4 linked regions of the Anolis sagrei genome follow. The protein of the gene in region 2 interacts with the protein of the main gene of each other region in a pairwise test. Links are inferred from orthologs where the notes say so. Each region holds a gene or a part of one and is shown on either strand. Other genes may lie near its edges.

What was found.
Region 1: the proteins of THAP1 (region 2) and METTL13 interact in binary tests that used the Homo sapiens proteins (3 or more experiments, as listed by UniProt). The two-hybrid records come from large-scale screens. The link is inferred for Anolis sagrei from reciprocal best matches to the Homo sapiens genes THAP1 and METTL13.
Region 3: the proteins of THAP1 (region 2) and BAG5 interact in binary tests that used the Homo sapiens proteins (3 or more experiments, as listed by UniProt). The two-hybrid records come from large-scale screens. The link is inferred for Anolis sagrei from reciprocal best matches to the Homo sapiens genes THAP1 and BAG5.
Region 4: the proteins of THAP1 (region 2) and AKAP17A interact in binary tests that used the Homo sapiens proteins (3 or more experiments, as listed by UniProt). The two-hybrid records come from large-scale screens. The link is inferred for Anolis sagrei from reciprocal best matches to the Homo sapiens genes THAP1 and AKAP17A.

The regions. Positions count from the first base shown.
Region 1 is NC_090024.1:130,532,139-130,539,921, reverse strand, and holds the start of METTL13 (eEF1A lysine and N-terminal methyltransferase), read left to right. Parts: upstream 1-4,762; 5' UTR 4,763-4,800; coding exon 4,801-4,962; intron 4,963-6,654; coding exon 6,655-7,414; intron 7,415-7,783. Other genes in the region: ITPA (inosine triphosphate pyrophosphatase), read right to left, coding at 611-684, 1,287-1,351, 1,426-1,483, 4,631-4,690. UniProt on the Homo sapiens protein: Dual methyltransferase that catalyzes methylation of elongation factor 1-alpha (EEF1A1 and EEF1A2) at two different positions, and is therefore involved in the regulation of mRNA translation.
Region 2 is NC_090022.1:156,694,218-156,701,430, forward strand, and holds the start of THAP1 (THAP domain-containing protein 1), read right to left. Parts: upstream 3,013-7,213; 5' UTR 2,774-3,012; coding exon 2,703-2,773; intron 1-2,702. UniProt on the Homo sapiens protein: DNA-binding transcription regulator that regulates endothelial cell proliferation and G1/S cell-cycle progression.
Region 3 is NC_090021.1:327,332,371-327,339,398, forward strand, and holds the start of BAG5 (BAG family molecular chaperone regulator 5), read left to right. Parts: upstream 1-4,023; 5' UTR 4,024-4,298; intron 4,299-7,028. Other genes in the region: COA8 (cytochrome c oxidase assembly factor 8), read right to left, coding at 1,120-1,287. UniProt on the Homo sapiens protein: Co-chaperone for HSP/HSP70 proteins. It functions as a nucleotide-exchange factor promoting the release of ADP from HSP70, thereby activating HSP70-mediated protein refolding.
Region 4 is NC_090023.1:98,414,698-98,422,202, forward strand, and holds the start of AKAP17A (A-kinase anchor protein 17A), read right to left. Parts: upstream 3,022-7,505; 5' UTR 2,761-3,021; intron 1,730-2,760; 5' UTR 1,319-1,729; coding exon 557-1,318; intron 1-556. UniProt on the Homo sapiens protein: Splice factor regulating alternative splice site selection for certain mRNA precursors. Mediates regulation of pre-mRNA splicing in a PKA-dependent manner.

The sequences.
Region 1 (7,783 bases), on a different chromosome or scaffold from region 2:
AGAGGATCTTTTCATCAGCTACCCCAAGACTGTGGAATGACCTGCCGGAAGAGCTCCAACAGCTAAATCAGCCATAAGAATTCAAAACTCAACTGAAGATCTATCTCTTCTGGTAGATCTACCTAATCAATTTAAACTATGAATTTTAAGGTCATGTCTTGTATCTGTTATATTTTAATCTTTGTTATATGTATTTTAATATGCAGATATTGTATATTTTAATATATGTATTGTTATGATGTGTTTTAACTATACTGTGCCCTGCCTTGAGCTGTAAGGAGAGGTGGGCAACAAATAATAATTATATTCATAACTATAAATTAATATTAATTAATACTCACTGTGAATGGTAATTCTAGTGAGGCTGTGCACATAGTTAATCCCTCAAGACAGGATCTTTAGAATTCTGAAATGTTATTTCTATTGTGCCCTATTCCCCCTCTTCTGTTTTGTTATATAGCCTTGCAGACTCCTTATGTAGCTCAGAGAAGATTGCACTTCCTGTATATTTTCAGACAATAACAGCAAATGCTAAGAGCTTACAGATTACAAAGAATTGTGGGATTTAAAAAATATGCATGCTTTCAGCTAACCGTTTATGCATACTTACATATATGGCCCTGGGAGTCCTCCAAGAGCATTAAAACACAAGCAAGTATCTTCTACTATAACTGGTCCCTGAATCTGTAAAAAGATAATACAGTGAAGAAGATATCAGAACTGTAAATTGGATCCACGAATAAAGAACAAGACTACTACTAGTTATGAACTATAGCAAGCTAAAATAAACACTCACCAAGGACTGAGAAAAAACACAAATCCCACTTTATTTGTCAACATCACATGGCCAGACATGAAATTAAAATTAAACCAAAAGATTAATGGTGCCTTAGATATTTATCTGAAATATTGTGTCCCACTCTTAAGCAACTAAAGGCCTACAAAATAATTATTTCTATCATGTAGATTGCATGCAATAGTCACATGTATTTTTTGTCACTCCTGATTATTTAGGTTTTTTTTAACCACAGATCATTTCTATTACATCCTTGCTCAATAAGTACAGAATTTAACGTTAAGAGAGTCAATAACGCCTGTAACAATAATGATAACTTGCAGCTCTCAGCTGAATATGTATCTTATTTTATACATTATGATGAGGTAGTACAACTCTCAAAAGGCTTAAGGATAGCAGTGTATTTTTTAAAGGAAAGGAGATTTTTAATGGCTGTTGGATTTGGGATTCCTACTATTGCTAAGGAATGTCAAAGTTCAGAGAGAAGGACCTGTTTAGCTGCTTCTTGGCACTTCTGGATAGAAATGTCATCAGGCTCCCCTTGGTACTCAGGCACTAGAAAAGGAAAAGTCATGGTTACCACAGAGTAAGAGCTATACAGAATGTAACAAAATAAGGTAGAGACTCACAGTCTATTTTTTTTGCAACCAGTTTGCCGGGAAAGGAATCACCTAGGATCTGAATCACCTGCAAGATAAAGGACCAAATAATCAGTTGGTTTCCACCAGCTTCATGGTCACATCCCCCCTGCAAAGAACAACATCACCTTGTGCCTTTCAAATCTCTGGCAGTAACATTTAACTCTAATGTAGGGGTCCTCAAACTAAGGCCTGAGGGCTGGATACGGCCCTCCAAGGTCATTTACCCGGCCCTCACTCAGGCTCAACCCAAGTCTGAAACTACTTGAAAGCACACAACAACAACAACAACCCTATCTCAACCAAAAGCAGGCCCACACTTCCCATTTAAATACTAATAAATTTATATTTGTTAAAATTGTTCTTCATTTTAATTATTGTATTGCTTTTAAGTGGTTTTTGCATTACAAATAAGATATGTGCAGTGTGCATAGGAATTAATCCATGTTTTTTTCAAATTATAATCCGGCCCTCCAACAGTTTGAGGGACAGTGACCTGGCCCTCTGTTTAAATGTTTGAGGACCCCGATCTAGTACAATGTTTCTAAGGATGAAAAAAAAAGTTTCCCGTAACACTATGTAACAAAATTTGAAAAAAATGTGTATATTCCTGACTTGAAAGTGTTATTTCCTGTTTAATTGTAAAGTGCTTACTTTGGAAGTGGTTGTTATACTCCGTATGGCTGCCACAAACTATGTTGAGTTGGTTGAAACTCTTAGGGAGATATTTATTGAAAAACTATGACGAAATGTGTTGAAGGATGTCCCGCTAAAACAAAACTTTTATATATTGTCGAAGGCTTTCATGGCTGGAATCACTAGGTTCTTGTGGGTTTTTTCGGGCTATAGAGCCATGTTCTAGAGGCATTTCTCCTGACGTTTCACCTGCATCTATGGCAAGCATCCTCAGAGGTAGCAAGCATCCTCAAGCATCCTCTACCTCTGAGGATGCTTGCCATAGATGCAGGCGAAACGTCAGGAGAAATGCCTCTAGAACATGGCTCTATAGCCCGAAAAAACCCACAAGAACCTAGTAAAACTTTTATAGTTGGATAAACTTTTTCCATGTTTTTATAATAAAACCAATGAGGAAATGACATTTATAACCCAGGAACAAACAATTGTGTTGCACAGTATAATTTGTACTTTGTTGCCAGGTGTTTAAAGACAGTAGTAGACAGTGAACATTCATGATATGCAAGGTTGTGGAAGCTTGTGCTCTATCTAAACACCAAACTAGGTTGACTTAGGTTAGTTCTGTAAAATTAACATATTTTAACACAGACTACACAGAGATGCCATTGCAATCCACAAGCATGTGGACAATTTTCAACAAAAGGGAGGAAACCATGAAAATGAGTAAACTCTGGCTGCCAGTATTTAAAAAAAGAACAGAATCAAGACAGCAAATAAAGAATACTAATCAGCAATGGGAATTCCAGACAGACAACAATCAAGTGCCAGTTAACAACACTTCCCAAACAGAGGATGCCTCCAGGTAACAACAGACAGGCTTTGAAGCTGTAAGGCTACTCAATGCTAACCAAGCTTGCCAACTGCAACATTCACACTTGCTTCAACAGACAAGAGTTCTTTCTCCCAGCCTGGACACATTTATATACACTCCACTTGCCTCGTTTCCAAGAGACCTCACAAACTGTTGAAGATGCCTGTCAGGAGAGAATGCTACTAAGGCATTGCCATACTGCCTGAAAACCTCACAGCAACCTAGTGATTTTGGCCATGAACGCCTTCGACAATACATTAGATTTTTACTCACAACTAAAATATTGGGGGGGGGGGGGGGTGACCACTCATCTCACCTCATCCAGTCTATATATCAGAAAAAGCTTTCCAATCTATATAAATAAAAATGTAATGTTCGTTTGGGGGATTACCATAACTCAAAAACCACTGGATGAATTGCTGCCAAATTTGGCCACAAGACATCTACTAACCCAAGGCGTGACCATCACTCAAAAAAAATGATTTTGTCATTTGGGAGTTGTAGTTGCTGGGATTTATAGTTCACCTACAATCAAGGAACATTCTGAACCCTGCCAATGATGGAATTTAACCATACCTAGCACACAGGACTCCCATGACCAACAGAAAATACTGGAAGGGTTTGGTGGGCATTGACCTTGAGTTTGGGAGTTGTAGTTCACCTACATCCAGAGAGCACTGAGGACTCAAACAATGATGGATCTGGACCAATCACAACACAAATACTCAATATGCCCAAATGTGAACACTGGTGGAGTTCGGGGAAAATAGAATCTTGACATATGGGAGTTGTAGTTGCTGGGATTTGTAGTTCACCTATAATCACAAAGCATTCTGAGCCCCACCAACAATAGAATTGGGCCAAACCTCCCACGCAGAACCCCCATGACTACCAGTGGGCCACAGCAACACATGAAATTTAACCATACTTTGCACAAAGTTGTCCCATGACCAACAGAAAACACCAGAAGGGTTTAGTTGGCACTGACCTTGAGTTTGGGAGTTGTAGTTCACCTACATCCAGAGAGCACTGTGGACTCAAACAATGATGGATTTGGACCAAACTTGGCAGAAGCACTCAATATGCCCAAATATGAACACAGATGGAGTTTGGGGAAAATAGACCCTGACATTTGGGAGTTATAGTTACTGGGATTTATAGTTCACCTACAATCAAAGAGCATGCTGAACCCCACCAATGACACAACTGGGCCAAACTTCTCACAAAGAACCCCCACACTTAAGGCCATCCAGTCCAACTCCCTTCACCAGGGCGAGAAAACGTAATCAAAGCCCTCCTCACAAAGACCCATCCAGCCATAGATATAGATAGATATGATTCACACACAGAGAGATATAGTATCATAGATTTGAAAGGGACCCCTGAAGAAGGACAATGATATGTTACATGTTCCAAAGTAGGCAGAGCAGACACTCTCCACATCAACACTGGGAAAGAAACAGCAAGAAGTACTGCTTATCCACAAGCATGAAGACATTACATATATTAGAAACCAACACTTTCTCGTTACTTTATTTTCCAGATCACCAGACTGGGCCACAGCAACGCCTGGCAGGGGCCGGCTAGTCCTTAAATAAATAGCGAGCAAGATTGCCAAGACTAAAATAATTCCTATCTTATCAAAGTGGATAAGGAGTGGAGAGAGAGGTGGGCCCTGCTTCTTCTCACCTCCTCCAGTTTCTTTGCGTTGCCGGTGACAAGCACCACTGTCCTCCCCGCAGACGCCATGACCGCCCATGCGCATGCGCGCGTAGCCGCAGTAGGCACGTGCCCCGCGCTTCGGCCCCGCTACCCGGAAGCACTCGGCCTCTTCCCTCAGTTGGAACTGGGAAGTGAGCATGGCGGAGCTCCGGCTGTTGCCGCGCCGCGCGAAGGACTTTGCCTCGGCCGACTTCTGGGAGCGCTTCTTCCGGGAGCGCGGCGGGAGGGCCTTCGAGTGGTACGGGGCCTGGAAAAGCCTCCGGGCGCCGCTGGGACGGTACTTGCGCCCTCAGGACTCGGTGAGAGCGGCTATAGCAGGCCATAGCGGGCATGGGCACACTTGGACCCACCAGGTGTTTTGGATTCCAATTCCCAACAGCCTCAGGCCCCTTCCTTTCCCCCCTCAGTCGCTTAAGCGGCTGAGGGGGGAAAGGAAGGGGCCTGAGGCTGTTAGGAATGGTGGGAGTTGGAGTCCAAAACGCCTGGAGGGCCCAAGTTTTCTATGCCTTAGCAATAGGAACAGTAGAGGAAATATTGTCGAAGGCTTTCATGGCTGGAATCACTAGGTTCTTGTGGGTTTTTTCGGGCTATAGGGCCATGTTCTAGAGGCATTTCTCCTGACGTTTCGCCTGCATCTATGGCAAGCATAGATGCAGAGGTTGTGAGGTCTGTTGGAAATAGGACAATGGGTTTATATATCTGTGGAATGGCTGGGATGGGGCAAAGAGCTCTTCTCTGCTAGAGCTAGGTGTGAATGTTTCAACTGACCACCTTCATTAGCATTTGAAGGCCTGCCTGAGCCTGGGAAAATCTTTTGTTGAGAGGTGTTAAGATGTGCCTGATTGTTTCCTCTCTGCTGTTTTGCTGGTAGCCAGATTTTGTTCATTTTCATGGTCTCAATTTCAACAGAAAGGAAGAGACCATGAAAATGAACAAAATCTGGCTACCAGTATTAAAAAACTCTAAAATTACAACAGCACAACAGCAGAGAGGAAACAACATTAGTTGGAATGTAAATTTGAATTATAATTGTATTGCTGTGCTTTCCCCAAATTCTGGTTAATATGATTCAGTTAGACTTTGCATTATACACTTTGAGCGTTTTTACTACACTTTGATTTGAGGTGATTAACTCACTCTGTTGGTGTCCAGCAAGCCAGCTCCTTATTTTAAAGGCTGGTTTAGGTGTTAGAATCCCCTTTGCCTAGAAACTTTGGGTCAGATAAAAATAAATAATACTTCACTGCGTACATGAGGGTTTGTGATTTGGAAGGATCAGACATTAATTTTTAGTTACAGAATATCTTTTCTTTATCTACGGTAGTTCTGATAAGTTTTATATTTGGTTTTCAGAAATGGTTTGGTAGAATGGCATGTTTTTTTTACATGGAGTAGTTTTCTGACTATTGTAATACACCATGTGTTTGACAGCTGAAGTTGGCATATAGGGACATTTAAACCTCATGTCTTTATTTATCTACATAACTCGACAATATCAAGCTTCATGGGAATACGAAACTAGAAATAAGAAACGAGCTTTGTCTCATATTGAGTGTGTTTTTACTTTTAAATAAGAAGAGTGTTATTGTATCAGTAAGAATACTCAATATTCTCCTAAGCTGCTTTGTGCTTGTAGCAGGCATTTTTTTTAAAAAAAAATCAGGAAACATGAAAATATCCTTCACCTTCACAGTTACATTTTTGATCCTGTGCAACTTTTGAAAAAATGTTTGTGAGAATATGGGATCGCAAAAGCAAAGCATATCAGTGGAGTTGGTTAGAAAGACCTTGGTGTGTTACGCACTAACTCTTGGGATCTCTGTAGCAGCTACATTTTTGTGTGTGTACTATATAAAGGAAAGCATCGGAAATGTGGAGGTGATATTCTGGTCAATATTTCTTTTCAAGCTTTTTGTCTGATTCTTCTGGAAATTGTTCTGTAAAGCAACCTTTTTGGTTTCCTCAAAATATTCTCTTTTCTTTCCCTCTAGATTCTTGTTGTAGGTTGTGGAAACTCAGAACTGAGCGAGGAACTCTATGATGAGGGTTATCAAGATATCACTAATGTGGACATAAGTGAATTGGTCATCAAACAGATGCAGGAACGCAGTGTTCATCTAAGACCCAAGATGACCTACATGGTTATGGATGTGCTGCAGATGGATTTCCCTGATGGGCACTTTCAAGTGGTGCTGGACAAAGGCACTCTTGATGCTCTGCTGACTGATGCAGAAGAAATCAGCCTGAGAAGGGCTGAAAGAATGTTTGCTGAAATTGGCCGGGTCCTGCGATTTGGGGGCCGTTATCTTTGTGTCTCCTTGGCACAAGCACATGTGTTGAAAGCAGCTGTGGAACATTTCTACCAGCAAGGATGGATGGTTCGAATACATCAAGTCTCCAGCAATGAAACAGACACTTCAGAAGGAGAGTTTGCCCTTCCTGTCTTTGTCTATATTATGACAAAGATAAAGCCTGTCCCAGGCTCAACTCTGTGCATCCTAGAGCTGTGTACTGAAGAACAGCACAAACCTGTCCGATTCAGCAGCACTCAGCATCTGATTGAGGCAGTAGAAGAGAGACAACAGTACTGTTTGTTACGGAGTCAGCTCAGAAGAAATCCCAATGCAGGGACCATCTGTCTTGATCTCTGCAGCAAAGATACTGATACCGGCCAAGTCCGCTATAGTTTACATGTTGTACACAACCCAACCGTGAAAGTGTCCTGTGACAATCAATTTGCCATCTTCATCAGTAAGTTTGTGTGCTCAGGAGCTTGCGTTAAATCCAAACAACCCAAGAAAACATCTTATAGCCTTTTGCCCCCATATACTGCTAATAATGACTAAGGGAATTGGGTATTTCAATTATACTAAAAACAGTTGGGTAGCAATGCTATTGGGTAGCAGTAGTGCAGTTAAGGCTATCTGTTCTAAGACTATATCTGTCTTTGGTAAATTTTCCAAGTACTGGGAAGCAAACTAGCTCTGATATGTCCATCCTTCAGCAGAGATATACATTTACTTTCTTTCTTCTAAATCAGTGATTCCCAACTAGTGGTCCGCAAGAACTAAAATATGGCCTCACTTACTACACAGTTTCAACAAGAGTAAAACCCTCTCA
Region 2 (7,213 bases):
GGAAATCAGAAGACACTTACTTCTTGGGAGGAGAGCAATGACCTATCTCGATAAAATAATGAAGAGTAGAGACATCACACTGGCAACAAAGATCCGCATAGTTAAAGCAATGGTATTCCCTGTAGTAACCTATGGATGTGAGAGCTGGACCACAGGGAAAACTGAGTGAAGGAAGATAGATGCTTTTGAACTGTGGTGTTGGAGAAAAGTTCTGAGAGTGCCTTGGACAGCGAGAAGATCCAACAAGTCCATAATCCAGGAAATAAAGCCCGACTGCTCCTTGGAGGGCAGGATATTAGAGGCAAAGATGAAGTACTTTGGCCACATCATGAGAAGACAGGAAAACTTAGAGAAAGCAATGATGCTGGGGAAAATGGAAGAAAAAAGGAAGAGGGGTGGACCAAGGGCAAGATGGATGGATGGCATCCTTGAAGTGTCTGACTTGACTCTGAAGGAACTGAGGGTGGTGACGGCTGACAGGGAGTTCTGGCGTGGGCTGGTCCAGGAGGTCACGAAGAGTCAGAACCGACTGAACGAATAAACAACAACAACACAGACAATGCCATTGGTGTTGCCCGTTTTTGGTCAAAACATCGAGAAAACCAAAGTGCTCTTCCAGCAGTCACCAGTCAATCCCTCTCCAATACCAGAGATACAGCTTAATGGTGTAATATTAGAAAATGTTGACCATTTCCGCTACCTTGGCAGCGGAAATTGTCACCACAAAAGCCACCACAAAAGTCAACATTGACACTTATATACACCACCACCTGAGCTCTGCGAATACAGCATTTTTCTGAATGAAGCAGAGAGTGTTTGAGGATGGAATATCCATAAGGATACCAAGGTGCTTGTTTATAAAGCTATTGTCCTCCCAACCCTGCTATAAACCTGCGACACGTGGGCTATCTACAGATGTCACATGCAACTCCTCGAATGATTCCACCAGCGCTGCTTCCAAAAAATTCTACAAATCTCTTGGGAAGACAAGCGGACAAATGTCAGTGTGCTCGAAGAAGCAAAGACCACCACCAATGAAGCAATGGTCCTCCACCATCAACTCCGCTGGATTGGCCACATTGTCTGGATGCCAGACCACTGTCTCCCAAAGCAGTTGCTCTACTCTGAACTCAAAAACGGAAAACAAAATGTTGGTGGACAGGAAAAGAGATTTAAAGATGGGCTCAAAGCTTTGAGATCTTCCGGGGAGGCCCTGCTCTCGATCCCGCCTGCGTCACAGGCACGGCTGGCGGGGACGAGAGATAGGGCCTTCTCGGTGGTGGCTCCTCGGCTGTGGAACACCATTCCCGTGGACATCAGGCTACCCCCCTCCCTGTTGATATTCCACAGGAAGTTAAAGACCTGGCTATTTAAGAAGGCATTTGACCAAGAAGTGCAATGACTGGTAATTTGACCATAGGAATGGAACAACGGAAATGATATCGGATTGTGGGTTGACGATGAGACGATTCGGAATGTAGTAGAAATTTGGTAGTAATGTTGATGTTTTGATAAGATGTTTTTCTGATAATGATGAATTGTAGATTATTTTGCACTATGTTTTGTAATTTGCACTTGTTTTTTCATGTTGTACACCGCAATGAGTCGCCCTTGGGCTGAGAATTGCGGTATATAAGCGCAGTAAATACATAAATAAATAAATAAAAGCCAACCTTAAAAACTTTGGCATAGACAACGAGAACTGGGAAGCCCTGGCCCTTGAGCACTCCAGCTGGAGGTCAGCTGTGACCAGCAGTGCTGTAGAATTTGAAGAGGCACGAATGGAGGGTGAAAGAGAGAAACGTGCCAAGAGGAAGGTGCGTCAAGCCAACCCCAACCGGGACAGTCTTCCACCAATGCCCTCACTGCGGGAGAAGATGCATGTCAAGAATCGGGCTCCACAGTCACCTACAGACCCACCAACCTTGGAGGACCATCATCCTCGGACTATGAGGGATTGCCTAAGTAAGTAAGGTCAAAACATATTTAGCTGCTTGCGTTCCTTCTATTTTTATCAGTTTTATACTAATTTATGCAATGCTTTTGACATGAAATAAATACTTGAATGACTACCAACAAGTCCACCGATGTCATGGATGGTGCCTTCATTTTACACCATGAAATCCCCTAACATCCCACAATATATCACACATGCGACATGTACATATTTTGCCCTTCACCTTTTTTAGGGCTTATCCTGATAAGGAATGAGTCCATGATTGCCATTATGCCTGATTTTTCCAGGTGTTTTGGACTTCACCTGCATGAATTTCTGACAGTTGGCCAAATATCTAAAACAAATGGAGCTTTGAAGCAACATGACCAAGAGACTATTCCGTTTGACCAGTTTGAAAACAAAATGACAGCCCTCCGACGTCACTGTCAGTCAGGCGACGGTTGAAACGGGCGCGCGTTCCAAGGCCTCAAAGTCAAGCCTCAGTCCCAACGGTTCTGTTGAAAGCCTGCGCGCGCGAGGGAGAGAAAAAAAAGAGGGGGTGCGCGTGCGTGCGTGCGCGCGCGACTACCCCAGCCTTGCTTTCTTTGCTTAGAGACCTTTTTTTGAGGCACCCCCCTCCCTCTCTAAGGAGCGTGCGCGCGCACTCGTCCACGCATGCGCTCTGGCTCCGCCTCCCTTTCAAGGCAGGACAGCTCGCTCTCTCTCTCTCCTTGCGAGCTCTCCTGCCCCCGCCCCTCCCACTCACTTGTGGAAAGAGATAGGCTTCTCTTTGTCGTATCGATTCCGGCAACGGTAGGCAGAGCAGGACTGCACCATCCTCTCGTTGCCGTTCGCCACGGATCCTCGGCCGCCACCGCTTTGCTCCCGTTTTCGGCAGGAATGGGCCAACAGGAGGATAGGCCGCGCCGCCCTGCCCTTAGGGCCTCAGCGGGGCCTTAGCGTCCTTCTCTGAAAAAATAATAAACATTGGTAAACCCTAAAGGACGACATCAGCGGGATGTGGCCTCTCCCTACTCCAACATGGCGGTGCCAGCTTCAGGCGAACTCTCTCGAGAACTCGGCGCCAGGCTTGGCGATTGGTCCCTCCCCGCGATGTTTTGGTGCGCCTCGCTTCTGCTCGGCCCGGCCAATGAGAGCGGCGCTCGGGGCTTTGACGCACGGGCTGCATTTGGGCGCCTGGGCCCGCCAAGAGGCGCGCGCGCATGCGCAGTGGCTTACTACCCTGATCGAAAGCGCTGGCTTAGTGCTTTACTTCAAGTTGTCCCTTCCTTGCTTCTGATTTTAGGCCGGTTTTAAAACGAAGCTTGAGACGGTGAACATATTTGTATTTCTCTATTTCTATATAAGTGTAGGACTGAGTTGCAAGTGTCTTTTTATTTATTTATTTATTTACTTACTTACTTTGTATACCGCAGTTTCTCAGCCCATAGGCAACTCAACGCGGTTCACAACAAGAGCAAAAAGACAATCATAACAATATACAATTTAAAAACCATTAAGAGCATAATATACAAAGTAATGACACATCAATAACAACACATTAACGTCTCGTAACTAGAATCGTGATCCAATTTGTCGTCTATAATTCCGTTCCTATATTCATCGTATTCATTGCACTGTTTATCCGAATGCCTGTTCAAACAGCCAGGTTTTTAGTTTTCTTCGAAACACGATTAACGTAGGAGCTGATCTAATGTCCATGGGAAGGGTGTTCCACAGCCGAGGGGCCACCACAGAGAAAGCCCTGTCCCTCGTCCCCGCCAGCCATGCTTGTGATGCAGGCGGGATTGAGAGCAGGGCCTCCCCAGAAGATCTTAGAGTCCTGGTGGGTTCATAGGCAGAGATACGTTCGGATAGGTAGCTTGGGCCAGAACCATTTAGGGCTTTATAGGCCAACGCCAGCACTTTGAATTGAGCACGGTAGCAAATCGGCAGCCAGTGGAGCTGGTGCAGCAGAGGAGTTGTATGCTCCCTGCGCTCCGCTCCTGTTAGTATCATGGCTGCCGAGTGTTATTTCTGTCACTAACAAGTTATTGGGCATGCATCTACACTGTAGGAATGATGCAGCTTGATACCACTTTAAACTCCCATGACTCAGTGCTGCAGAATCATTGGAGATGTCGTTTGGTGAGATAAAATAGTGTTTTGCTTTGTTTTTTGTCGTGTCAGGGCAAGAGGATGTGAGGGCGATCTGACTGCGACATCTGTCACCCCATTGATTGCCAGGGTTGATTCGGCTGATCTGGCTGGCTAGGCGGGTGTCCCCTTCCTCCCTCACCGCTGTGCGCTCGGTGGAAGAGGACAACGTCCCAGGTATAGAAGGAGTGTACCGAGGTCTCCAGTCTTCAGTCCCGGGTTTACGATAGCTGCACTCCCCTGCTAGACCCTCCAAACAAGCTCAAGATAAAATAGTGAAGAGTAGAGACATCACACTGGCAACAAAATCTGCATAGTTAAAGCAATGGTATTCCCCATAGTCATCTACGGATGTGAGAGCTGGACCATAGGGAAGGCTGAGCGAAGGAAGATAGATGCTTTTGAACTGTGGTATGATGAATATGAAGAGTATGATGCTGGGGAAAATGGAAGGAAAAAGGAATAGGGGCCGACCAAGGGCAAGATGGATGGATGGTATCCTTGAAGTGACTGGATTGACCTTGAAGGAACTGGGGGTGGTGGAGACCAACAGGGAGCTCTGGCGTAGACTGGTCCATGAAGTCACGAAGAGTCGGAAACAACTGAACGAATGAACAACAACAAAACTACAGCTTCCACAATTCCATCTCATTGTGCCATGGCACTTGTGGTGTCAAACTGCATTAAAGCCACTGTTTAGATTTATTTATTTATTTACCGACTCAGGGCGGTTCACAGTTGGCAACATTTGATGTCTCATCAAATATTGTGAAAAACATTTGTGTAAAATATAAAAATTGTACAAAACCATAAAAACATTATCATGAGCATCTCCTTGTTAGAGGCATCTTAGGGAAGCACTAACTCTGTTTGAGTCCACTTTGACTGCCATGACTGGGATTTCTCTGGAATTTGCTGCAATAGAGAGATCTAGGTTTGTAGTTCAGATGAGTTAAATGGAGCTGTCCAGCGAAGAGTTTAGCTTCAGGCTAAACTAGACTACAGACACAAGGATCCCATAGGATGGAAACAAGGTAGGGAGACATTTATTTCACATGGTGTCTGAATGCATCACTACTGTGCACACAATGCACTCTTGGCTCATTTGTGTGTGAGAGCCAGTACATTTGGAAATGGCAACCCATTGCAAAATCTAGGAAACCACTGCATAAAGATCTCCTGGAGAAGGTCTGGCGTGCTCGCTTCGGCAGCACATATACTAAAATTGGAACGAGAAGGTCTGGCATCTCAGTGTAAGGTTCCCCGTTCCTGGTTTTACAGGATGCTTGCTTATGAATATATTGAGTCCCCTCTGGGAAATATAAAGTAGAGTATATATATAATAATATTAATAATCTTTGTTAGGAGCCCCCGGTGGCGCAGTGGGTTAAACCCCTGTGCTGGCAGGACTGAAGACCGACAGGTCGCAGGTTCAAATCCGGGAAGAGGCGAATGAGCTCCCTCTATCAACTCCAGCTCCTCATGCAGGGACATGAGAGAAGCCTCCCACAAGGATGATAAAAACATCAAATCATCCGGGCGTCCCCTGGGCAACGTCCTTGCAGACGGCCAATTCTCTCACAGCAGAAGCGACTTGCAGTTTCTCAAGTCGCTCCTGACACGACCAAAAAAAAAATCTTTGTTTACACATTTATGCCCTGACTTTTTTAAAAAAAAAATCCCACAAAACACCTTACAGATAGAGTGAAAGCATTGGACAATTGAGTAATGAGGAACCTTGCTGGCTTCGATATAGGCTCATTTTTAAAGAGAAAAAAGATGATAACATGATTTTTCAAATGACTAGGCATTGTCCAGTGGAAAATATACTGTTGAAGAAACACCTTCAACAGTATATGTTATGGGAAGAGAATAACATTTTTTTACGTTTTTGACATATCCATCAGCTTTCCCCTCCCCCACAGATCATGACAATATCTGCTATGCTTCTTCAGCATCTACTTGCTATTCATATTTAGAGGTTGCCTTGCATGTGTTGCCATCAAAAGAAATGAAACAGATCCATAACATTTTTATTTATGTGTACAGCTGAGCAGCACCCTCTTTTACTGTAGAAATTTGTCTGAATCAGTGTGCGTAGCTCCCTCATCTTGCTTTAAGGGTTAGGGTGTAAGCATTTTGGTCAACCATAGTTTCAATATATTTTCCCAAGCAACAATTAAATAAGTGCACCTGGTGAAAAAATACATGAGTTTACCACCTCTTGCACCTGCTGCGTGGCATGTACTGACATTGCTCTTCCCTAAGGGCTGCAGAGGCGGTATGCAAATACATCAAAAACCTATGTGGTTTAATCCAGTCTAGAAAAAAAGTTGAAATACAGTTTTATAGTCTGACTAGCTGTACCCAGCCACGCGTTATGAGGCATATAGGTATTATTATTATAGATGTTATTTATTTATTTATTTCATATCAAAAGCATTGCATAAATTAGTAGAAAACTAGTAAAAAATAGAAGGAGCACAGGGCTAAATATTTTTTGAGCAAAAATGGGCAACAGATGTATGGATATTATTACAGACCGATAGATATTATTATAGGCATATAGATATTACTATTATTATAGATATTATATAGCTATTATTATAGATGTATACATATACCTATATTATACCTATATAGATATTATTATTATTATTATAGTCACGGATATAGGCAGACAGGTATTATTATTATAGATGTATAGATATTATTGACAGATAGATAATATTATAGACATATGGATGTTATTATAGACCTACAGATATTATTATGGGCATATAGACATTATTATTACAGACGTACAGATATTGTTATAGACTTGTAGATATTATTGTTACAGACATATAGATACCATAGACATATATATATTATTATAGACGTATAGATAATATTATGATAGATATATAGACATTATTATTGTAGATATTATAGCCCAGGGTTGCTATAAAGTAAAAATGGATGGCCATCTTTTGGGAGTGTTTTGATTGTGTCTTCCTGGACAGCCTTTCCTAATTCACAGTGCGTGCCTTCCCTGTTTTTGTCCTTTCTTTGAATACTGGACTTCATTTCCCAGAATTCCTTCCCATAACTCATTATGGGTGAGCTTTCTAGGAGTTG
Region 3 (7,028 bases), on a different chromosome or scaffold from region 2:
AGTATATACGGTATATGGCAGCGTGGATTCAGCCTGGAGGGGACGTGGTTTTAAAAAGGGAATTTTCAGATATTTCCCCAATGCCCATATGTCATGATTTACTGCCATATTGGCCTATTTCTGCAGTAGGCCTATGTTCACAGAAAATGGTGATTGCTTGAGAAATCAGTGCTCCAAAGAAGAAGTTACTATTCAAGAATAACAGTATATCCGGAGAAAACCAGCTAGCTGATGGCTAGTTAGAACCCCCAAATTTCCAAGTTGCTCTGGAGTCATGTTTGCAACAGACTAACAGATAAGATACAGTCATGGTCAGAGAACAATGGACTATAGTCATGTTATAGTTGTGCCATTGTTAGGATCCCACGTGTGTTATAATGTCAATAAAAATCATAAACAACTAATGAACAACTGTATAACTAACTTAGACCAATGAAATGATTTGTCTTTGGGAACCAATGAAAATGTATATTCCATTTACTATAACTGCTCTGCAGCCCCATTGGGGGTTGCGACAAACCCTTTGATTGCATCCCTGTATGCTTGTTTGTCGTTATTGCTATGGCCACGCAATAAATAGTTTTTGCAGTTTAAAAGGTTCAACTTTCGTGGTGTCCATCCTTGCCCTCCCTATTAGAAAGGGGGCTTCTGCCTTTTGGGGAAATATTCTGGTTTCGTTGCCCCTACAAGCCTAGGACACAAAGCAATGGATTTAAACTGTAGGGGAAAAGATGCCACCAAAACATTAGGTAGAACTTCCTGACTGCAAGAGCTGCTCGGCAGTGGACTGTGCTGCTTTGGAGTGTGATTGAGTCTTCTTCTCTAGAGGTTTTTAAAGAGAGGCAGGATGGCCATCTGTCAGGAGTGTTTCATAGTGTGTTCCTGCCTGGCAGGGGGTTGGACTGGATGGCACTTGTGGCCTCTCCCAACTCTAGGATGCTATGAAATAAAGTATAAATGACAACTATAAGCGTTACAACCAGTTTGTTCTCCAGAAACCTTAAACTCAAGCCGTGTTCGCCATTTTGTATCCTCATCACAACAACCCTGTGAGGTAGGCCGAGGCGGGGCCCAAACAAAGCGAAGCCTTGCCACAGGCACTCTCTGCCCTGCCATTACCCGGCTTTCTGAGGGAGGGGGTCCGCCACTTTTCCCCGGCCCTCCGGTGCCCGAGAAGCCCCCAGGAGACGAAGAGGAGGCAAAGCCGCCGGGCAACGGGGCCAGCGCCACGCAACTTCGGAAGCTTTTGAGGAAAACGCGATTCCCTCCCACCTTGGAAGCCGCCATGATGGTTTGTGACAGCTCACGCATGCGCAAAGGATAGGAAGAGGAGGAGCGTCGGGCTGAAGCTGCTGACGCATGCGTAAAGGAAAGGAGGGCTTGGAGAGCCGCTTTCTCGGCAGCTGACGCATGTGCAAAGGAAATGGTGTTGCTAGTGGGGGGGGGGGGGGGCGAGGTCCTCGGCAACTCACGCATGCGCAGTGAAAAAAAGGGATGTTTATCAGAAGTCCTGTGTCTGGTTGTGATCCCCAGGTTGTGCCAGTCAGCTTTCGTATGATGTTGTTTCTAGTGCCCACTTTTTGCTTGATGTTCAGGCAGTGCTTCTTGTAGGTCAGAGCATGGTCCAAAGCGACTCCCAGGTATTTGGGTGTGCTGCAATGCTCCAGTGGGATTCCTTCCCAGGTAATCTTCAGAGCTTCTTAAGGTGAAAGGCGCATGTCTGTGTTTTAGATGGATTAGGGATCAGTTGGTTTTCCCTGTAATAGGCAGTAAGAGCACCTAGAGCTTTGGTGAGCTTCTTTTCAACCATCTCAAAGCTCCCTGCTTGAGTGGTAATGGCATGATCATCAGCATAGATTTATTTATTTATTTACCTTACTTATATACTGCTGTTCTCAGCCCGAAGGCGACTCACAGCGGTTCACAACAAATACGAACAGCAAAAATTCAGTGCTACAGTATAGAAACAGTTAACAACCTAACACATTACACAATTAATAAACAGTTACTACAATACCCATTCACTGTCGTCTTGTCATCAAAAACATGTTCCGGATTCGTCATCCATTGTTCCATTCCAGTGTTCATTAACCAATCATTGCACTAATTATTCGAACGCCTGCTCAAACAGCCAGGTCTTCACCTTTTTGCGGAATACCATTAGAGATGGTGCTAGTCTAATATCCGCAGGAAGGGCGTTCCACAGCCGAGGAGCCACCACCGAGAAGGCCCTATCTCTCGTCCCCACCAGCCGAGCTTGAGAAGCAGGCGGGATCGAGAGCAGGGTCTCCCCGGAAGATCTCAAAGTCCTGGTAGGTTCATAGGCAGAGATGCGATCAGATAGGTAGCTTGGGCCGGAACCGTTTAGGGGTTTAAAGGCCAACGCCAGCACTTTGAATTCAGCCCGGTAGCAGATCGGTAGCCAGTGGAGTTGGCGCAACAGGGGGGTTGTATGCTTCCAGCGCTCCGCTCCTGTTAAAATCATGGCTGCCGAGCGTTGGACTAGTTGGAGCTTCCGAGCTGTCTTCAAAGGCAACCCCACGTAGAGAGCGTTGCAGTAGTCTAAACGGGATGTAACCAGAAACTCTCTGTCCCTTCTGGCAGTGGCTGGTCATTTGTGTAGATGTTGAACATGGATGGAGCAAGCACGCTCCCCTGAAGCAGGCCGTTCTTCTTTCATACGAAAGCTGACTGGCACAACCTGGGGATCACAACCAGACACAGTGAAGACATCTACCCTTGCGCTATGCTACTCTGCTGCTGAGTACGCATGCCCAGTGTGGAACACATCTCACCACACTAAAACAGTAGATGTGGCTCTGAATGAGACATGCCGCATTATCACGGGGTGTCTGCGCCCTACACCACTGGAGAAATTACACTGCTTAGCCGGTATTGCACCACCTGACATCCGCCGGGAAGTAGCAGCCAATAGTGAAAGGACCAAGGCAGAGACATCTCCAGCTCATCCCGTTTGGGTATCAGCCAGCACGTCAATGACTTAAATCTAGAAATAGTTTTCTAAGATCTACAGAGACACTTGCTGGAACACCTCAGCAAGCGAGAGTCCAAAGTGGCAGGCTCAAACCCAGAACCTCAACCAATGGCTGATACCAAATGAGAGACCCCCCCTGGGCACACAGAGGACTGGGCGACTTGGAAGGCGCTGAACAGACTGCGTTCTGGCACCACGAGATGCAGAGCCAACCTTAAGAAATGGGGATACAAAGTGGAATCCATGACATGCGAGAGGAGGAAACCACTGACCACCTGCTGCAATGCAACCTGAGCCCTGCCACATGCACAATGGAGGACCTTCTTGCAGCAACACCAGAGGCACTCCCAAGTGGCCAGATACTGGTCAAAGGATATTTAAGCAACTACCAAACTGACAAGTTTTGTATTTTGTCTGTTTGTTTGCTTTGTTCTGTTAGAAATGTAATATAATGGACTGGTTGCTCTGACACGACAAATAAATAAATAGTACAGATATGCTGCATTCTCACAAGACACTGAATTAGAAGTCACCATAAGATTTATATCTGTGGTTCCCAATTTAACTAATTTTACACACACCAGCTGCTATATAAATATACTGCATTCCTTTTCTACACCAAGAAATCTAGACTATACTGGTCAAAGGACATTTAATCAACTACCAAACTCACAAATTGTGTATTTTGTCTGTTTGTTAGAAATGTAATATAATTTGACTGGTTGTCCTGACACGACAGATAAATAAATAGCCATTCACTCATGCGCAAAGACAAATCTGGCCTATCCCTGGAGTTGTTTGGCGATTTACGCGTGCGCAGAAACCAAAGAGTAATCCCTCGGCCATTCACGCATGCGTGAAGCAAAAAAAAAAGTAGACGAAGGGCCGTTAATAAGTCAACGCCGGTTTCTCGCAACTCGCGCATGCGCAGAGAAAAGTGGGCGGGCTCACGAGGCCGAACCCGATTTCCTTGGCAACAGGCTTTCAAAAAAGGATCCCCCAAACAAGCGAGGGCGGGTGTTGGTGTTGCTTTACGGCACTGTCGCGCGAGAGAAGGAGTGTTCGTCTCCTCCGCCTGGAAAGTGCCTGTCAGGGAAAGAGGGCGAGTGCGCATGCGTGTTGGGAGCCAGACTGCTTGGGTCGGGATAAAAGTAGAAGCAGGAGCCGGAGGAGGATCTCATCTCCCTGGGGCGCCGGAGGAGAGCCCTGGGATGGCGGCTGCGGTGGGAGGGGCTCTGAGGAGCCCGTCTGCCTGCTTTTGGGGCCCGTGCTGACAGGAGAGAGCGTGGGGACGGCGGGGAAGGTAAGAGGGAAAGCCCCGGCTGACGTACTTTGTGAGAACTGCATGCATTTGAAGGGGATTTAGTCTCACAGTGTTTTCTGTTGGTCATGGGAGTTCTGTGTGGCAAGTCTGGCCCAATTCTGTCGTTTGTGGGACTCCAAATGCTCTGATTGTGGGTGAACTATAAATCCCAGCAAACTACAACTCCCAAATGTCAAGCTCTATTTTTCCCAAACTCCACCAGTCTTCACATTTGGGCGTGCTGAGTATCCATGCCAAGTTTGGTCCAGATCCATCATTGTTTGACTCCACAGTGCTCTCTGGATGTAGGGGAACTACAACTCCAAAACTCAAGGACAATGTCCACCAAACCCTTCCAGTATTTTCTGTTGGTCATGGGAGTTCCGTGTGGGAAGTTTGGCCCAATTCTGTCGTTTGTGGGACTCCGAATGCTCTGATTTTGGGTGAACTATAAATCCCAGAAAACTACAACTCCCAAATGTCAAGGTCTGATTTCCCCAAACTCCACCAGTGTATACATTTGAGTATACATGCCAAGTTTGGTCCAGATCCACCATTGTTTGAGTCCACAGTGCTCTCTGGATGTAGGTGAACTACAACTCCAAAAGTCAAGGTCAATGTCCACCAAACCCTTCCAGTATTTTCTGTTTGGGAGTTCTGTGTGCCAAGTTTGGTTCAATTCCATCATTGGTGGAGTTCAGAATGCTCTTTGATTATAGGTGAACTATAAATCCTAGCCCCAGTGGCGCAGTGGGTTAAACCACTGAGCTGCTAAGCTTGTTGACCGAAAGGTAGCAGGTTCGAATCCAGGGAGCGGCGTGAGTTTCCGCTGTCAGCCCTAGCTTCTGCCAACCTAGAACTTTGAAAACATGCAAATGTGAGTAGATCAATAGGCACTGCTCCAGCGGGAAGGTAACGGTGCTACATGCAGTCATGCTGGCCACATGACCTAGGAGGTGTCTATGGACAACGCCGGCTCTTCGGCTTAGAAATGGAGCTGAGCACCACCACCCCAGAGTCAGACATGACTGGACTTAATGTCAGGGGACAACCTTTACTTTACTTATAAATCCTAGCAACTACAACTCCCAATTGGCAAAATCTATTTTCCCCAAACTCCACCAGTGTTCACATTTGGGCATATTGAGTATTTGTGCCAGAGTTTGGTCCAGATCCATCATTGTTTGAGTCCACAGTAGGTGAACTACAACTCCAAAACTCAAGGTCAATGCCCACGAAACCCTTCCAGTATTTTCTGTTTGGGAGTTCTGTGTGTCAAGTTTGGTTCAATTCCATCATTTGTGGAGTTCAGAATGCTATTTGATTGTAGGTGAACTATAAATCCCAGCAACTACAACTCCCAAATGACGAAATCAAACCCCCCCCAACCCCACCAGTATTCAGATTTGGGCATATCAGGTATTTGTGCCAAATTTGGTCTGGAGAAGGAAAATACATCCCGCATATCAGATATTTACATTACGATTCATAACAGTAGCAAAATTACAGTTACGAAGTAGCAATGAAAATAATTTTATGGTTGGTGGGGTCACCACAACATGAGGAACTATATTAAGGGGTCACGGTATCACGAAGGTTGAGAACCACTGGTATAAAGGGAAATGAGGGGTTTGCCTCATTTAATGGAAAATAAAGGGGGGGGTTCATCTATAAGTAAGTGTAAAGGGAAATAAAGAGGGGCTGCATCTACTCCTGCACTAGGAAGGAAAATAAGGGGTGGTCATCTAGTATGAAGGGAAATAAAGTGTTAATCTATTAGTGTAAAGGGAAATAAAAAGGGGGTTCATCTAATATAAAGGAAAATAAAGAAAGGGTTGTTGTCGAAGACTTTCATGGCCGGGATCAATGGGTTGCTGTGAATTTTCCAGGCTGTTGGGCCATGCTCCAGAAGCATTCTCTCCTGACGTTTTGCCCACATCTATGGCATGCATCCTCAGAGGTTGAAGAATCTGTTGGAAGCTAGGCAAATGAAGTTTATATATCTGTGGAATGTCCAGGGCGGGAGAAAAAACTCTTGCCTGCTTGAGGCAGGTGTGAATGCTGCAATTGTCACCTTGATTAATGGTCTTGCAGCTTCAAAGCTTGGCTGATTGCTTCCAGAGGGGGGATCCTTTGTTGGGAGGTGTTAGCTGGCCCTGATTGTTTCCTGTCTGGAATTCCCCTGCTTTTTGAATGTTGGTTCTTTATTTACTAAAATCTAAAATCAGGACAGTAAATTTTTTATTTATTTATTTGTCGTGTCAGGGCAACCAGTCAATTATATTACATTATTACATTACATTATTACATTATTATTATTATTATTATTATTATTATTATTATTACAGTAAATAAAGACCAGCACTCAATGCTCAAAAAGCATATATTTGTATAAAGGGAGTGCACCTATTAGTATTATTTATTTTTATTTATAAAGTATTTCTACCCCGTCTCTTCTCTACTCAGGACGGCTTACAAAGTGTTCATCTATTAGTATAAAGGGGCTGCATTTATTAGTATAAAGGGGGTGCATGCATTAGTATAAAGGGGTCCATCTGTTAGTATAAAGTGTTAATCTATTAGTATAAAGGGGGAGGGGCATCCATTAGCATAAAGAGGGTTCAACTATCAGTATAAAGGGTGCATCCATTAGTATAAAGGAAGCATTATATTGTCGAAGGCTTTCATGGCCGGAATCACTGGGTTGTTGTAGGTTTTGTAGGTACCTCT
Region 4 (7,505 bases), on a different chromosome or scaffold from region 2:
GGTGGTGTCTGCAGACAAAGCTGACTCTGGCTTAAAAATGGAGATGAGCACCACCCTCGAGAATCGGACACAACTAGACTTAATGTTGGGGAAAACCTTTACTTTATAAGTCTAGAAATTTTGGTCAAAAATCAACTCAAAAATCTCCCCTCAACTTATACATGTTGACTTATACATGGGTATATGTCCCTTTTAAAGCCACTCAAATATGTAGCCATCATTACATTTTGTGGTTGTTATGTACTTTTGCCTTTGAAAGAGATGGAAATTTACCTTCCTTTCTGTGTCCTGTTTAGTCTCATTGGATAATCATTGATTACACCGTTACGAAAAAGTAAGAAAATCTTTTGCAAACTTGGAAATAATTTGTGAAAACATAAAATAAAGCTGAGACTGCTACTGTTTCTCATTTCCCCAACTCACTGAAACATTAATCCAATTTGTGACAGTAGAGAAAACTGCACAAGCCTTAAATTGTATGCTTTTTTCAAACATACAAAAAATTTCATCTAACATTCTCTAAAAATATATACCAGGAAAAGCTCAGATACTTCACCTTTATGTTGCAAGCCACTGCTTTGCCATCTTCACCTTTGTACATTAGCTTCATCCCCCGCAAAGCATTCATAGCCTTGATAAAGCCTGCATATTCCTCATATTGAACATAAGCTTCAAAATTCAAATGCCCTCCAAAACTGAATGTATGGAAGTTTCTTCCAGTCATTTCTTCCCTGTATGGATCCAACATGGGAATGTCCACATTACGAATTTCCCCAAATTTGTTAAACACTTTAATAAGAACTTCTTCATTTGGTTTTTCTGAGCCAGAGTCTTTCAGTGCAAACCATTTACAAGGCAAACCCTCCAAATGAATAGTGTCTGGTCTTTCCCCTGGCAGAGTTTCATTCATATCTTTTGCATCACGAAAAAAGGAATCCCAGTCATGTCGAGTAGGAAAATCAATTTTGTATTCTGCAGCACGAACTTTGAGAATGTCCGAAAAACCACTTAGTTTTATAGTTTTGCCATCTAGACATGTAAGGAAGGATTTAACCAGACCCTTATTTTCCACTTCTCCTTCAAAACGAATGAAATCCATGGTGCTTTTGGAAATTCGTAAAGTTGAGAATTGATGTGTTTGCACCATTCCTTTCAGCCTTTCCATCACTTCCCAATTGGAAATAGACTTTCCTGGTTGCTTTAACTGTGGAAGTGCCACACTGATCGTCATTTTTGTAATGGGCTTGAGGAATAGTCCATATGGAGCACAGAGCTCCACAGCTTCGGAAGTATCATGAACTATTGTAGCAGCTGCCATGGTTAAAAAGTTATGATTCTAGCAAGAATAGGCTTATCTATTTTGTAGACATGGATAGAAAACTGTTCCTCTATTTGAATAAATTACCATTTTAACTACATCTCAAAATCAGCTTTCAAAGACTGATTGTAAGTTCTCTGTCTTTTAGGGCATGTGAAATGTTATCATTATATGTGAATCCATTAAATAGGATTCCATTTTTAACTGTGCTGTTCTAGTGTTCTCTAATTGAAAGCAATATAAATTATCTTTGCAGAGTAACTGTAAAAGTATACAAGGAATAATAAGAATGTAATTTGCAAAAAGGAGCCTCAAAAAGTAGTCTTCTTGGAGCACACTGCTTCGACGCAATTCTATGAATTATCACAATCTTGCGAGAATTTCATCATTCATAAAAGCTGGGAAAATATTCTGTGGAAAATTGAAATAGATGAGTTAGTGTCTTGTTTATTAGATAAAAAAAGTATTTCTAAACATCATTGCCAATAAACATGGTTGCTCAAATTAACTGAAATAATTTATGAAATAAGCATCTTAACAACCCTTTTATTTAGTCACAGTATGTTAGGTGAAGACAAACGGGTAACAACTTTAGAATCCTGAGTGTAACAGAATGCAGAATTACAGCCTCAGCAAAACAAACTTACAAATTACACAAGTGTGTTAAAAAGGAATCTCATAAATATCATAGTTAAAGAACTTTATATCTGATACAGGATATCAAGGCAGAAAATCCCACATTATCTGCATGTGGACTCAGATAACCCAGTTCAAAGCAGATATTGTGAGATTTTCCACCTTGATATCCAAGGATATAGGGCTGTGTGGAAGGCCCTGAGATAACCTAGTTCAAAGCAGATGTTGTGGGATTTTCTGCCTTGATATTCTGGGGGCCCTTCCACACAGCCCTACATCCCAGAATATCAAGGCAGAAAATTCCACATTATCTCCTTTGAACTGTGTTATCTGAGTCCACACTCTGCCTTGATATTCTGGGATATCGGACTGTGTAGAAGGGCTCTCAGTCCACACTGCCATATATTCCAGTTCAAAGCAGATAATGTGGGATTTTATTCAGGTGTGTGGAAGGGGCCTCAGATTCTGTATGGAAGGGCCCTGGGCATAGATAGGGAGAGGAAACTGTAGTTGCAAAACGGGGCACGGACCATGTTAATTAGCCACAGATTAGCCATTAACATAAAATACAAACGTGTCAGCGAGAGCAGGGCTTACTCTATTTGTGAACATCCCAACTCTAGCCAGCCAGGGGCATCGAGTGGGCCTCCCAAGACAAAATGCTCCAGAAGATGGTCTATTTATAAAGCGCCCAAATCTTGCCCAATTCCTCCTTCTTCACAAACCCAACCACAAAAGGCCAAGGAGATACGCTCCCTCTCCCCTGAAAGCACCTCCTCTTATCCAGAAAGGCTGCAGAGACAAACCTAGCTCATGCCCAGTTGACACCAAGGCCTCTCCTCTCCACGCACGACCATACGCACCCTTCGGCCTCGTTCTGAACCGCGACGGGAGGGGCCTCCACGGCCATCTCGCGCCTCTCCTCCTCGCTCCCTCGCTCGCTCCCTCCCTCGCGGGCTGCCCCAGGCGCAAGGCGACGCCGGCCTTCCCACAAGGCCCAGCGCCACCAAAACAAAAAAACTTCCGCTTCCCTCAAGACAACCAGGAACCTCAGTAAGCGAAGTAGCGAGCAGGAGGACCGGAAGTAGAGAGGCCGGGAAGTGCATAGAGCTAGCAAAGATAGAGCGGCAGACACTCTCTTACGGAGATTAGAGCGTTTCCTGTTGTCAGGGATCAGATGGCGGGCATGACTTGGGGGCGCATGCGCACTGAATACAAATTCATACGAAGTCTGAGGCCCTTTCTAGACAGCTGAATAGAATCCCTCATATGGACTCTGGGCCATTCCACGCAGCCATATAACCCAGAATATCAAGGCAGGAAATCTCTCAATATCTGCTTTGAACTGGAATATATGGCAGTGTGGACTCAGATAACGCAGTTCAAAGCAAATACTGAGGAAATTGGGTTGTTGTAGGTTTTTTCGAGCTATATGGCCATGTTCTAGAGGCATTTTCTCCTGACGTTTCGCCTGCATTTATGGCGAGCATCCTCAGAAGTGGTGAGGTCTGTTGGAACTAGGAAAGGGGGTTATATATCTGTGGAATGACCAGGGTGGGACAAAGTACCCTTGTCTGCTGGAGCTAGGTGCGAATGTTTCAACTGACCACCTTGATTAGCATTTGATGGCCTGTTCTTGGTGTGGCTTGTTAGTGCATTATGGTGGTCAGCTGAAATCCGTGAAATTTTTAAAATTCTAAAATTGCAACAGCAAAAACAGCAGAGAGAAAAACAGGCAGGGACATCTAGTCACCTTTCAAGAAGAGTTTGCTCCAGGCACTGTCAGCCCATTGTATGCTAATCAAGGTGGTCAGTGGAAAGATTCACACCTAGCCCAACTTACAAAAGCCCTTTGTCTTACCCTAGTCATTCCACAGATATATAAACCCCTTTTTCCCCAGCTCCTGCAGACCTCACCTCTGAGGATGCTTGCCATAGATGCAGGCGAAACGTCAGGAGAAATGCCTCTAGAACATGGCCATATAGCCCGAAAAAAACCCACAAGAACTGAGTATTATTGGAATGTTGTCCGGTCACATCCAAGACCCCTGCCTGTAATTTCCTTAATACCCTTACAATGTACTGGGAGAAGTGGAGGGGAGGGAATAATTCAATGGCTGTATTTAAGATTGTTTTCTGCTTACTTTTAATTTTTTTTATTAAAACAGATTAAAACAAAACCTACATAGACCCCCCCCAAACCCCCCCCCCCAAAAACCCCATCAACAACATATTATAAATACTTTTTCTAGAACAATACTACTGCATCCTAAACATTTTAAAAAAGCAATAACTACAAACAATTTAATCTAAGGGCTTTACATTTTGTCTGATGGTTATATTCCGTCCATTTTCTACACCCATTTAGTGAAAAGGAACCATTGGTACATCCTTTCTCATAGAATAACACACTTCTAGTCCAAAAAACCTGTGATGTAGATTTGGCCCCATCTTTATTGGAGGAACACAATAAATGGGCCCCAGTCTTTCTTAATGTTAGTTAGAGATTTCTCCTTAATCAACGTAGTGTGTTTCCTGCTTCTGTTGATAAGATTGAGACTATCTGAGAGAAAGATCTGGCAACCATGCCCCTAGCCAATTTCACCTACTGAAATGGACATCATCCCCAAATATCTATTATGTACATTGGACTGACCCTATTATGTGCACTGGAGCAAGACTATTAAGCCCAACAAGGACTCTTTGCAATTTGCCACACCACATTCCTTTTGATCGTGCCCCTCTCGGAGGTGGATCATTAAGCAGACTGATACTTTAAATGTTCCAATGATAGTTTACTGAATTTCTTGCCATCAACACGCGCTAAACAGCACTGACCTTGGACAGAGTCCTGAGCTATTTAGGACAAGGTTCCTAGCCAGATTGTTTCCCAACCAATCAGGAGCTGGTATGAATTTCTTTGATGTTGCTTGATCAGGTTCCTTTTTTATCTGTGAAAGTTGGAAAGTATGCTCTAGGAGATTTTCTGCCAATATAGTTTACTTGGAGTAACAACTGCTAGCCAAAAAAACCTTACTTCTAAGGAAACATGCATTGGACTATGTTCTGTCACGCGCTGGGCCTGTAACAATTGTCTTTTCTATAGGATGTATACTTTAAGCCCAGTAGGAAGCCGGGGTGCTCCAAAGAAAGGGTATCAGGGTTTTTTTCCTGAAGTGATGGTCTTTAGAGACTTTCAAGATATAACAAAGTCTTTATTAAGGAACAAACAACAAATCTTCAATGGTTCAAACAACACTTCAAGGCTTTCTTAGTCTAGTCCTCAAGGAACTGGTACCTGACTTTGATTAACTGTACTTTCTCTATAAGAAAAAAAACCCTGTTTAACCTCTCCCAGGCTATCTATTATCTATGTCTCGTTGGTGTGGGTACTACTACCAATTCCAAATGCGTCTGGGCTTCGAGTAGACCTACCAGCCGAGGCTTGTAGATATTAAAGCTGGAATTCCGTGGATCTGTAATGCTGTCCTTTCTCCGAGAATTCTTTGAAACTTCAGGGCTGTTTTCCCTCTGATGCTGTGAGGCTGAGAGGCTGTGAGCTCTCAGCCAGAGCCTTGGGACCTTTCTCCTGGAATTTCTGTTTCCCCGGATGTTCTTGAGAAAGGATGCTTTTCTACGGGACGAGCAGGTCTACGTCCTATAGTTTAGCTTCCTTGTGTGAGACTGCCCAAAAAATGGCTCCTTTCCCTCCCAGAGTCCTGAACAGGGGGCAGAACCAAAGCTTAATTATAATGGACAGGAGGCCTGTCCTATGACTGCAAAACGGATAACAGAAAGAAAATAAAGTTGGAGCTCCTGGTACAGCCATACCAGCACAGACTGTGTTGCTTATTATTAACCACCCTGTAGCATAATATGTGGAATTCCACTAGAGGAGGCTGTTGTCATAAGATAAACTTTGAATTATGTTGACTGGCAGAAACAGTATTTTCTTGGAACCTAAAAAAAGTTACATATACTTTACCTTAGCATAGGCCACCTAATCGATTGGTCTAAACAAGCCTTAGAAAAACTCAAAAGGGGAAAATTGATCTATCAGTGGTTATTAACCATGATGGCTCAGTGCAGAGATGGGGATCATATGGTCTTGCAAATATTTTTAAATTGCAACTCCTATCATCCCACACCATTAACTATACTGGCTAGGACCGCTAGGACATCCAGATCCACAATATTTTGAGGGCACCATGATTTCCACCTCTAGATAAGCCCTCCTCTATAGGCAATGGAGAATATTATTGTAGTTGCTGTTAATTTTTATTCTGCCTTTTTCACTGATCAGTGATAAGTGATCAGGGCGTTAAACCCCTGTGCCGGCAGGACTGAAGACCGACAAGTCACAGGTTCAAATCCGGAGAGAGCGCAGATAAGAGCCTTCTATCAGCTCTAGTTCCTGACACCAGGGCCGTAGCCAGAAAAAAATTTCGGGGAGGGTTGACAATTTCGGGGGGGGGGGCGTGTTGAAAATTTCGGGGAGGGTTGAAAATTTCGGCGGGGGGGGGGGTTGAAACCTGCCTCCTAGCTCACGCTGAAGCAAAGAGCACAGCAGGGGTAGAGCAACCTTCAATAGCCTGCAGCTCCGCCCCTGTCAACCACCTCCACCAAGTCTGGCCTCCTTAATGAGAGCATTCAACACACACACTCCCAACTTGGTTGCTTCACTACATCGGCTATTGCTACAAGTAATGACAGTGTGAATAAATTGTCAATATTTGCTTGAGATAGGGCTTGCAGTTCTGGAGGGACTCTTAATTTTTGCATCTCATAGACTTAGCATGGGGTTTTGGTTAATCAGTTAAAATTCATGAGTAAACCAGGGTTTTTTTAAAAAATCTGAAACATTTCGGGGAGGGTTTGAACCCCTAAAACCACCCCCTCGCTACAGGCCTGCCTGACACAACCAAAAAAACAAACAAACCCCTGATCAGAAGTTAAAGTGGCTTGTTGTTTTTACCTTCAAGTCATTTTTAACTTATAGTGACTCCCAGGCAGACATATAATGAGGTTTTCTGAGGCTGGGAGTGTGTGACTCACACAAGTTCACCAAGGGGGTTTCAATGGCCCAGCGGAGAATTAAGTTCTGCTCTCCAGAGTAGTAGTCCAATGCTTAAATCATTACACTATACAAGCTCTCAAAGCAGCTTACAATTTTTAAAGTATCACTAAATATCTATAAAATTCTAATGTTAAAATAAGATTAAATAACAAAAAAATATAATCAGATTAAAAACTTCATCATTAAACATACACATGTTGGCACAACAATTAGTCATATCCAACACATTGTGTAAGACCTTATATAGTCACACATCAAATGTCAGCCAGAACAGAAACATCTTTACTTGTCCGAGATAAGGAAGTAGGGAGACAATGTGATAGTTTCCCTCTTCATCCGATATTGCATAATTTGCTCTGATGAGGCATATGATAATCTTGTTATATCATATAGGCAATAAGATGTATGTACTATCCACATGGGATGCTCTGTCTGCAATCCTCCCCTAAAGCTAGATCCTGAAAATGTGACTTC